Linked DNA regions of Bombyx mori. The protein of the gene in region 1 interacts with the protein of each later gene in a pairwise test. Links are inferred from orthologs where the notes say so. Each region holds a gene or a part of one and is shown on either strand. Other genes may lie near its edges. The genes, in order: interphase cyctoplasmic foci protein 45 and SNF.

What was found.
Region 2: the proteins of interphase cyctoplasmic foci protein 45 (region 1) and SNF interact in binary tests that used the Drosophila melanogaster proteins (3 or more experiments, as listed by UniProt). The link is inferred for Bombyx mori from reciprocal best matches to the Drosophila melanogaster genes THG and snf.

What each region holds. Positions count from the first base shown.
Region 1 is NC_085110.1:11,453,169-11,457,075, forward strand, and holds interphase cyctoplasmic foci protein 45, read left to right. Parts: upstream 1-1,416; 5' UTR 1,417-1,472; coding exon 1,473-2,060; intron 2,061-2,632; coding exon 2,633-2,950; 3' UTR 2,951-3,110; downstream 3,111-3,907. UniProt on the Drosophila melanogaster protein: Adds a GMP to the 5'-end of tRNA(His) after transcription and RNase P cleavage.
Region 2 is NC_085117.1:15,209,069-15,213,701, forward strand, and holds the start of SNF (U1 small nuclear ribonucleoprotein A), read right to left. Parts: upstream 3,043-4,633; 5' UTR 2,886-3,042; intron 2,802-2,885; 5' UTR 2,704-2,801; coding exon 2,700-2,703; intron 1,414-2,699; coding exon 1,175-1,413; intron 1,083-1,174; coding exon 814-1,082; intron 615-813; coding exon 455-614; 3' UTR 454-454; exon of another isoform or gene 404-453; intron 1-403. UniProt on the Drosophila melanogaster protein: Binds stem loop II of U1 snRNA. It is the first snRNP to interact with pre-mRNA. This interaction is required for the subsequent binding of U2 snRNP and the U4/U6/U5 tri-snRNP. Plays a role in regulating sex-lethal splicing.

The DNA.
Region 1 (3,907 bases):
AATATGACAGGAACAGTGGAAATATTCCATTCCCGATACTTTTAGTGCAGCCCTCGTAAGCACTGTGTACAATACCAACACGCGACACCACGAAATACTAGCAATTTCTGAAAACAGTTAGCTAGCAGCAGTGGAATTGTATGGTTATGTTCTATGGATTTAATAAATAATGAGTCAGATGAAGGCTTTGAAGAAGATTTGATGCAAATTTTGGATACATAAATGATACTTAAACGACGACGAATTTCTCCCCATACATTATTTCTTATTGTATGATCCCTGTATATAGATAAATTCATGTCATATAGAACAGGATATCCTTTTACCAACTCAATCAAATGTTCGTCGGTCATTTCAAATGCTAAGCAATAAACGTGCAATAAGTAATATAAAATTGGCATAAATTCTGTTAGAGAGTTTGAAGAATAGGGATGGGGTCAAAGAATGCTTATATGCTCAGTGACAGTTCTCGAACGGCTGACGCGTAAGCAAGACGGGTCGTCGCACCCCCTTACGGGGGCACGAAACAGGCCTCGGGGCGAATCCCACTCACTGCCCGGGCAGAAGCTCCCTGCCATGAAAAGCAGGGAGGACTGAGAGGGGGGTTCGTATGCGTGTTCGGCGCACTCCAACGACATGTATACTTAAACTTAATACGAGGGCTTGAGTAGTCCACGGGATGACGCCCGGCGGCAAGGTCCCTCCGGCGTCTTGTTGTCCTCTGCATTATGTTTCTTTTTTTCTCCCCTTATAACGAAACTTACAAGCTCTACTCATCTAAGTTCATCGGAACGAATCACTACTCACGGATTTCAAAGTAGTGTAGGTATTATCTATGGCTTCACCACCAGTTTACACTAAGTGACTTTTTGGCGGGAACGCGAGGAGTGAACTTGTGTGATTTGTTTTATTTTGTCTATTTAGTGTTTCTTCAGATTTAAATGTGTAATAACGGTGGTTTATTAACTGTTTAATATCTGTGACAGTGCAACAAATATAGGAAAATGAAACAAAGCCGCCAGACGTAACTTTTCGGGATCCTCCAAAAAGTCCACTGAAAAAATCTCAGTAATTGACCACCATTTTACTGAGATTATCTTTCATCCCATATCATCTCATCACATTTAATTTCATTTCATCCCATCCCAGTTGATTAATATCTCAAATTAATCATCTTCATTTCATTTCACTTCATATTATCATTTTCCATAAAAATATCTCATATTATATCATCTCATCTCATTTCATTTCAGTATCATATTTCATAAAATAAAAAAAATATATAAAAGATTAGGCTGTATGGTACGATATCTATGCCTTTCCGTTTGAAAAAATAAGACTACTACTACCTATCATAGATTATACACTTATTTGCTACCTTTATTAATTATGTTCATAGATTAAACACTTTCTAGGTTACCATAATGGCAAATAATCATTTGTTTTGAAAATACAGTAAAGCTTTTACTTAAATGTGGAAATTAAAATCGACCAGGATTGTAAAACACTATTTATCCACAAATTTCCTAGTACTTAAAATGGCAAAGAGTTCCTTCGAATACGTAAAAAAATTTGAACATGATGATTCGTTGTTACCAAATACATGGATAGTTATAAGATTAGACGGTAAATGCTTTCATAAATTTGCAGACGACCACAACTTTACGAAGCCTAACGACTTGCGGGCTCTAAAATTGATGAACTATGCTGCATATACTGTTTTAAAAGAATATAGTGATATTTTGTTATCATTTGGGCAAAGTGATGAATATTCATTCGTACTTAGAAAAGACAGTTGTTTGTATAAACGGCGCTCAGCAAAACTATTAACAACAATAAATAGTAAATTTTCGTCATCGTATGTTTTCTACTGGAACAAATTCTTTGAACATCTGCCATTGAAATATCCCCCTTGTTTTGACGGGCGCATTGTTTTGTATCCTTGTGACGAAAATTTAATAGATTATATGAAGTGGAGACAGGCTGATGTACACATAAATAATTTATACAACACTACCTTCTGGACTTTAATTTTGAAGGGGCAGTTGACCCCTGTGCAGGTAAATCAATTTCAAATTTAAGATCAATTTATACTATATTTATTTGATTTTACAGAAGCTTTCGTTGTTGTTCTTTATGACATGCAATGAATAACTAATGTCAGAACTGCTTCCAATCTAAATTATAGGTGTATGGGTGGGGGGAACCTTTCTGAAAAAAATTATGATAAATAAATTGCAAAAAAATACATTTTTCTGAAGTTTTGGCACAATACTGATGAATCTTGATCTATGACTGGACATAGAATAAGCATAGGTTATTTAACATCCATTGTAATTATTTCATAAAATATAAGCTTACCTAAATGACCACTGATGTTTGATACATGTATGTGAATACTGTTTTCAGTATCTTACTTGTCTTAAACGATATGAGTTTATTGGACATTTTGTTTTGGTGTACAATCCTTTACAGCCTGTATAAAAGGGCTGACATCATAAACATCATGGTGTTACATTACTTCAGCCCATATACACAATATCATTAATACAAAAGGTTGAAAATTTGTCAATCTGTATCTTATATTAAGCTATAGCATCAGTGAAAGATTTACAGTAATGTTTCATTCTAGGCTGAGAAGCGTCTAAGTGGAACAGTGTCTGCTGATAAAAATGAAATCTTATTTCAAGAGTTTAACATGAACTATAACAATGAACCAGAAATATTCAAGAGGGGAACAATTCTATTGCGAAAGTCTATATTGCACAATAAAGTGAACAAATCTATCATTGTGGATGTTCATGATGATATGTTAAAGGATAAATTTTGGAAAGAAAACATATATATATTATCTGTAAAAAAATCTAAACAAAATTTAATGTATATAGGTCCTACAACAGAAATCATAGAAGATCAGTTAAGTAAATATGAAAGTCATTTAGAAGCTTGACATAACAATGACATCTATTTATTTTGAGGAACAGTTTAATACTATATTAAACTATAGCGTAATACTATATTAAACTGTTGAGTTATTTTAGATGTAAGATTTTAAATTTTGTATTTGATGTTAAACATCAGCTTTCCTAAAAAATAAGGCTACCAAACTTTTAGTGTCTTTTATTTATTACCATTATGGAAGTACAGGTATAATTCTAAAGTACTGGCTTTTTCCTTACTAATAGCTTGAAATAGTTAAACAGACTTAATGTCTTTAGACTGAGTCACGTTGACAACATGAGTGCAGCTGTCCACTGTAATCTAGGTTGAATTCTCAATTTTAATAAATGATAGATGTTCCAACCTTCAAACAAGTAATAACATTAACTTTTATCGTTAGAATTTCGCATACTGAATATGATTCGCACGAAAATGAAACGGTATCTTAAGGTGCACTTGGAACGGGGTGGCCTTATGGTCCATCTGGTGTAAAACAGTTATTAGCTTTCCCATCTTTAATGGCTTGATCACACGTACTGAGCAAACGGGCGAGACGTAAAATGTTTCTGGGCCGAGACGGCGCAGAAAGTGATGTAAGCGAGTAGCTGTTCACACGTGTTTTGAAATTAGCACAGTCAGTTTCAGTTTAGTGTGCTTAGTGCGAGTTTTATAACGTTCTCGATAGCGTAAAAGTTAGCTCATATTTGTATGGAATGGGGTCGTTTGTGTACGTTTGCCGGTAGGGGCGCTGTTCCAATTGTATACAAAATTGGCTTAACTTTTACGTTATCGAGAACGTTATGAAACTCGCACTAAGCACACAGTTCTATTGAGACTTTAATTCGGACACGATGGATCGTAAAATGATTATTAGAAATTATGCAAAGTTACTCATCCCACTATTAACAGAAGATGGGTAGACAAGCTCACAGCCCACCTGGTGTAAAGTGGTTTTTGGAGCCCATAG
Region 2 (4,633 bases), on another chromosome or scaffold:
TTATTTATTTTAAAGTTCATTATTTATTAATGGCAACCAATGATTACGAAAGGGAAAAAATGTATCATTCTGAGATTTGTTGGTATAGTTTATTTTTGTTGCTGTATACGATAGGCAAAGGCTCACTGCCCTTCTGGTAATAAATGGTTACATGAGCCCAGACATCATAATATGAAGTCTCAATGCATCATGTGAAGACTACCCTTCAAATTACAAAGAAAATTCATTGCAGAAATACATACGACAGTGGTGCATACAACACTACTTTGTTTTATTTTCAGGTTGGGTTTAAGTCTCGGATGATATTCTTAAGGCTACAAAGTAAACTACACTTCTAAACTATCACGATAATATCACAGCCAGATCAGAGAGCTGTTTAGGCGGAGTGCAATGCTCAAAACAGTTCTCAGTTTCTCAATTTATTTATACTTAAAATTACATGTTTTACATTACACTATTTCTTAGCAAAAGTAATCTTCATTGCATGTGTTGGTGTTATTTTGAATCCTTGTAATGCTTCTTTGGCTGCTGCAGATTGCATTTCATTTCCGAATTCAACAAAAGCGATATCATGCCTGTTTGGCACAAGACGAACCTCCTTAAAGCCTGGGAACCTAAAAAATATAATTTATTGATAAATTATAAGTTACTTAAAATTTAAAAAGTATCTTTGTAACTTCAGTAATGAGAATGTGAGAGTTCCAATTCTCTAAAACTGCACACTTTAGAATTTTTGCTTTTATTGTTTTGTGTATTTTATTGTCTTATTTGATGATAAAAATTACTTTTTGAATGAAGTGAATGTGAACTTACTGATTGAACAACATTGATAACATCATCTCTGAAGTTTCATCTGGAAGGTTTGTCAAGAACAGAATTTGGTTGGGAGGTTGTTCCGCATTAACATTGTTTAGGATACCAGCACCAGGGATACCATGCCCAATAAGTCTGCTAGGATCTTTGTTTTTCTTTTTCTTCCCATCATCAGTACCTTTAGGTAGCTTTGGACGTTTAGGTCGTTCTTGAAATGTTCCTTTACTTTTTGCTATTATATCACTATCAATTTTTGAATACTGAATTCTCTGTAAAATAAAGTTTTGTGTAAATCGAACTAGCAAATTGTGCAATTAGATAAATTTATTTTGATCTTGACATTTTTATTTAGAAACATTACCATTGGTTTATCATAGAATGGAAATCCTTGCATGCTCCGCAAAGCAACAGTGGCACTTGAAATTTCCTTGAAAATAACAAATGCTTGACCACGCATTTTTAAGGTTTTCATTGCTACTATATCCAATATTTGACCAAATTGTGAAAATATTGCATAAAGTGACTTCTTTAATTCTTCTTTTTTAATCTTTTCATTGAGATTATTGATATAAATGGTATGGTTGGGTCTTATATCCATTGCTGAAAAAAGTTGATGTTTATGAAATACAAATATTTTAGTATTGCAATTTATTTATGCTTAATTTTTAGCCAAAAAGATGATTTACATTCATTGAGTGGCTTAGTTCATGATGTGTTCTCTAACTTCACAGATATAATTCCATATTGCTGCCTCCAATGAACACTACTCTAACTCAAAATTTTGAAATTTTCGTTTTTCACGCAAATCGCTTCACTATTTTAAAAGTATTACAAATTCATTATTAATGAGGTTTGATGCAAGAGTAAATCAGCTAGTTACACAAAAAAAAATCATAAAATCTTTATTATTGCAGATATATTTATCAACTTTTTTCGTTTAAACTCTCCTCCTGTAAACCTACGAATTTGGAGTTAGAGTAGTGTTAGTTGGAGGCATCGATATGTTAGTACTCTATACATCGACGCTTGAAAGGCAAACATGACTAAGAGACGATGCGTGAACTTTACAGTAGACTAATTTAAAGTTGAAATACCTGAATTCTATTTTAACGAATCTAGGTATAGGATTTAATTATTTTAATAGATATAGAAATATATGTTTTTTGCGCATCGAATATGGTGATTGCCTATAATTTATGTACAAAGCTGTTATTGTCGCTTAGTCACGTTTGCCTTTCAAGCATCAATATGTATTTAATGTATAGTAAGTATCTGTTTATATTTCTAGAGGTGTGAAAACATAACACCAGTTCATTTGGGATGCTCAAGATATGACATTGAGCATTACAGATGTATCAATTCTGTTCACCTAGTCAAAACTCAAAATCGATTCGTAATTTTATATAAACTCTTCTCCATAATATCATCATACTTGAACAATATAGATTTGTAAAGTGGGAATCCAAAGCATTAAAATAGATATTAGAGAATATTTAAAACAATCTGGAGGTAGATGTATACACTGATTTCAAAAAAGTTTTAGAAAAGCCCATCATGGATATGTACTTAACAATATTTTTGAATGGGATTGCAGAAAATTGCGATAGTCTTGATAGATTGCAGATAGGTTCAACGAACATCTGTCACAAAAGTTAGTTGATGGTCATCAGTCAAATATTGTAGTTGGCTACAGTTAACTTTTATTGTGAAGTAGTGAAATTACTGTTTCATCTCATCACCGTTTGTTATTCCTCAATAAATAAAATAAACTTTATAGGTTATAAGTTTTCTTTTGTTACGTTAGTTTTAAACTATCGTGAATAATGTGATAATTAATAAGATGAATAATAGATAAAATTATTAAATGTATTTGTGTTTGTACTTACTCATTTTGATTACAAAACTAAGTTTTGTTTTTTATACGAGAGGCGTGACAAGGAACGAATTCGATTGAACCAATGTGAGTGAAGGCGGAATCAAATTGGATACTGCAAGAATAAAACATACTAAATGTATTACCTTTGGATTAAAATGTTTAGTTAGGCATAAGTAGGTATTGTAAAAGTTTTTACCTTCCAAATTCTTTTTACAGGTCTAGGCAGTTTTCGTTGAAACAGGCGCGTCCCTAGCACAGAACACTATTACTTCTAGCGAAGGTCCCTAGCTAACATTCTAACCATAGATAGTAGTAGTAGTAAGGTTTTTCTCGAAGAGAAAGGCAAAGGAACTAAGCCATACAGCCAATTCTTAAGTTTAATATTTTCATATATAATTTTATGTTTCAAGGCAAAAAAGCCAATTGTTTAGTATTCTTCATTTATAAATATTTTTCAAATCCGTGTAAATGTCTATTCAGATTTTTTTTTTTTTTTTTCCCATTTGTTTCGGTTGAGAGTTGTCGCAATCGTGTTTCTTGGATAATCTGACTATAAAGTCAAAATTTGTGTTCTCCATTATAAGTCTCCGAAAGTAGAGGTAATGTATTCATATACTGCTCTAAAACTTGCAGGGCACTTAAGCAATTCTTGAAGAGAAGGCGGGATGCTATCCTTATAAACCTCTTGCAGTTTATCAATAAATAGGATGCGATGAATATTAAAAGCTGGACATGTGAAAAAAATATGATGTAAAGTTTGTTCTTCATTTAGTGAGCATTTATTACAATTTGGTGATGAAGTTATTTTCATTCGGTAAAGGTGAGCGCTAAATTTGCAATGACCAAATCTCAGTCTACAAATCTGTGTGTAGAACTTCCTTTTACAGAAATATTTGCTCCTAGCGAACCAGGGTTTAATACCGATTTCATTATTTATTTCAGCATACCATTTACCTTTGGTTTCATTCATATGCCTTCTGTTTTCGAGCCAATCTTTATTAATTTGTTGACGAATATCAGGAATTAGGTCTTGCCATGGAATTGAAATATTTTTAATCTGGCCACCCAAGTTATTTATTGATTTTGCAAAATTATCAACTTTTTCATTGCCCACCACTCCACAATAGGAATGGCGATTCTTTCCAAAAAAGATCGATTTTTAAATCGATTCGAATCGTAACCTGATAAATCGATTCATAAAAAAATCGAGGTCTAATAAATCGATTTCTAAAAAATCGATTTTTTTCAAATTTGTATTTACAATTTAAATATAAATCCATTTTATGAAAAACAAAAATGATACCATAATAAACAATCTCTGGGATCTCTTATCAGTAAAATCAGGAATTTATTAGTTCAGGGAATTCGATAATTACAATTATTTTTATTACCATATCAAAATATCAGATCAGATATAAAAGAAGACATTTAATTTCTAAATGTATTTGTTACATTAAAAAGTTAAGAGAGTAGATAACAATAGCTTATAGTTCCCAATGCTTCATATCTAAGTTTTTTAAAAACAACAATTTGTCAAGTCTAATGGGATCCAAGCGGTTCCGCTCATCACTTGCGATGTTGCCGGCAATCGAAAAAAGGCGCTCACAGGGAACAGATGATCCTACGATACTCATATACATCACGGCTATTGAGTGAACATGGTGATAAATAGAGTTTTTTTGTTCTTGCCAATAAAGTATAGGATCATACTTTAGGTGAACAACTGCCTGTGATAAATAGTGTTTAAACTATTCGTTTAAGCCTTGACTTTCCAGTGCAAGTGTATTACATGTAGAGAGTTGCTTTTTGACAAGCAACTTATGAAAATCCCAAATTCCTTTTTCTAAATCAGTCCCTTCTATTGCGTCGAATTCTTCACTATTATTTTGTGGAAGTTATTGCTGTGATTGAATATCTAAAATTGAAGTATTTATTCTATTTATT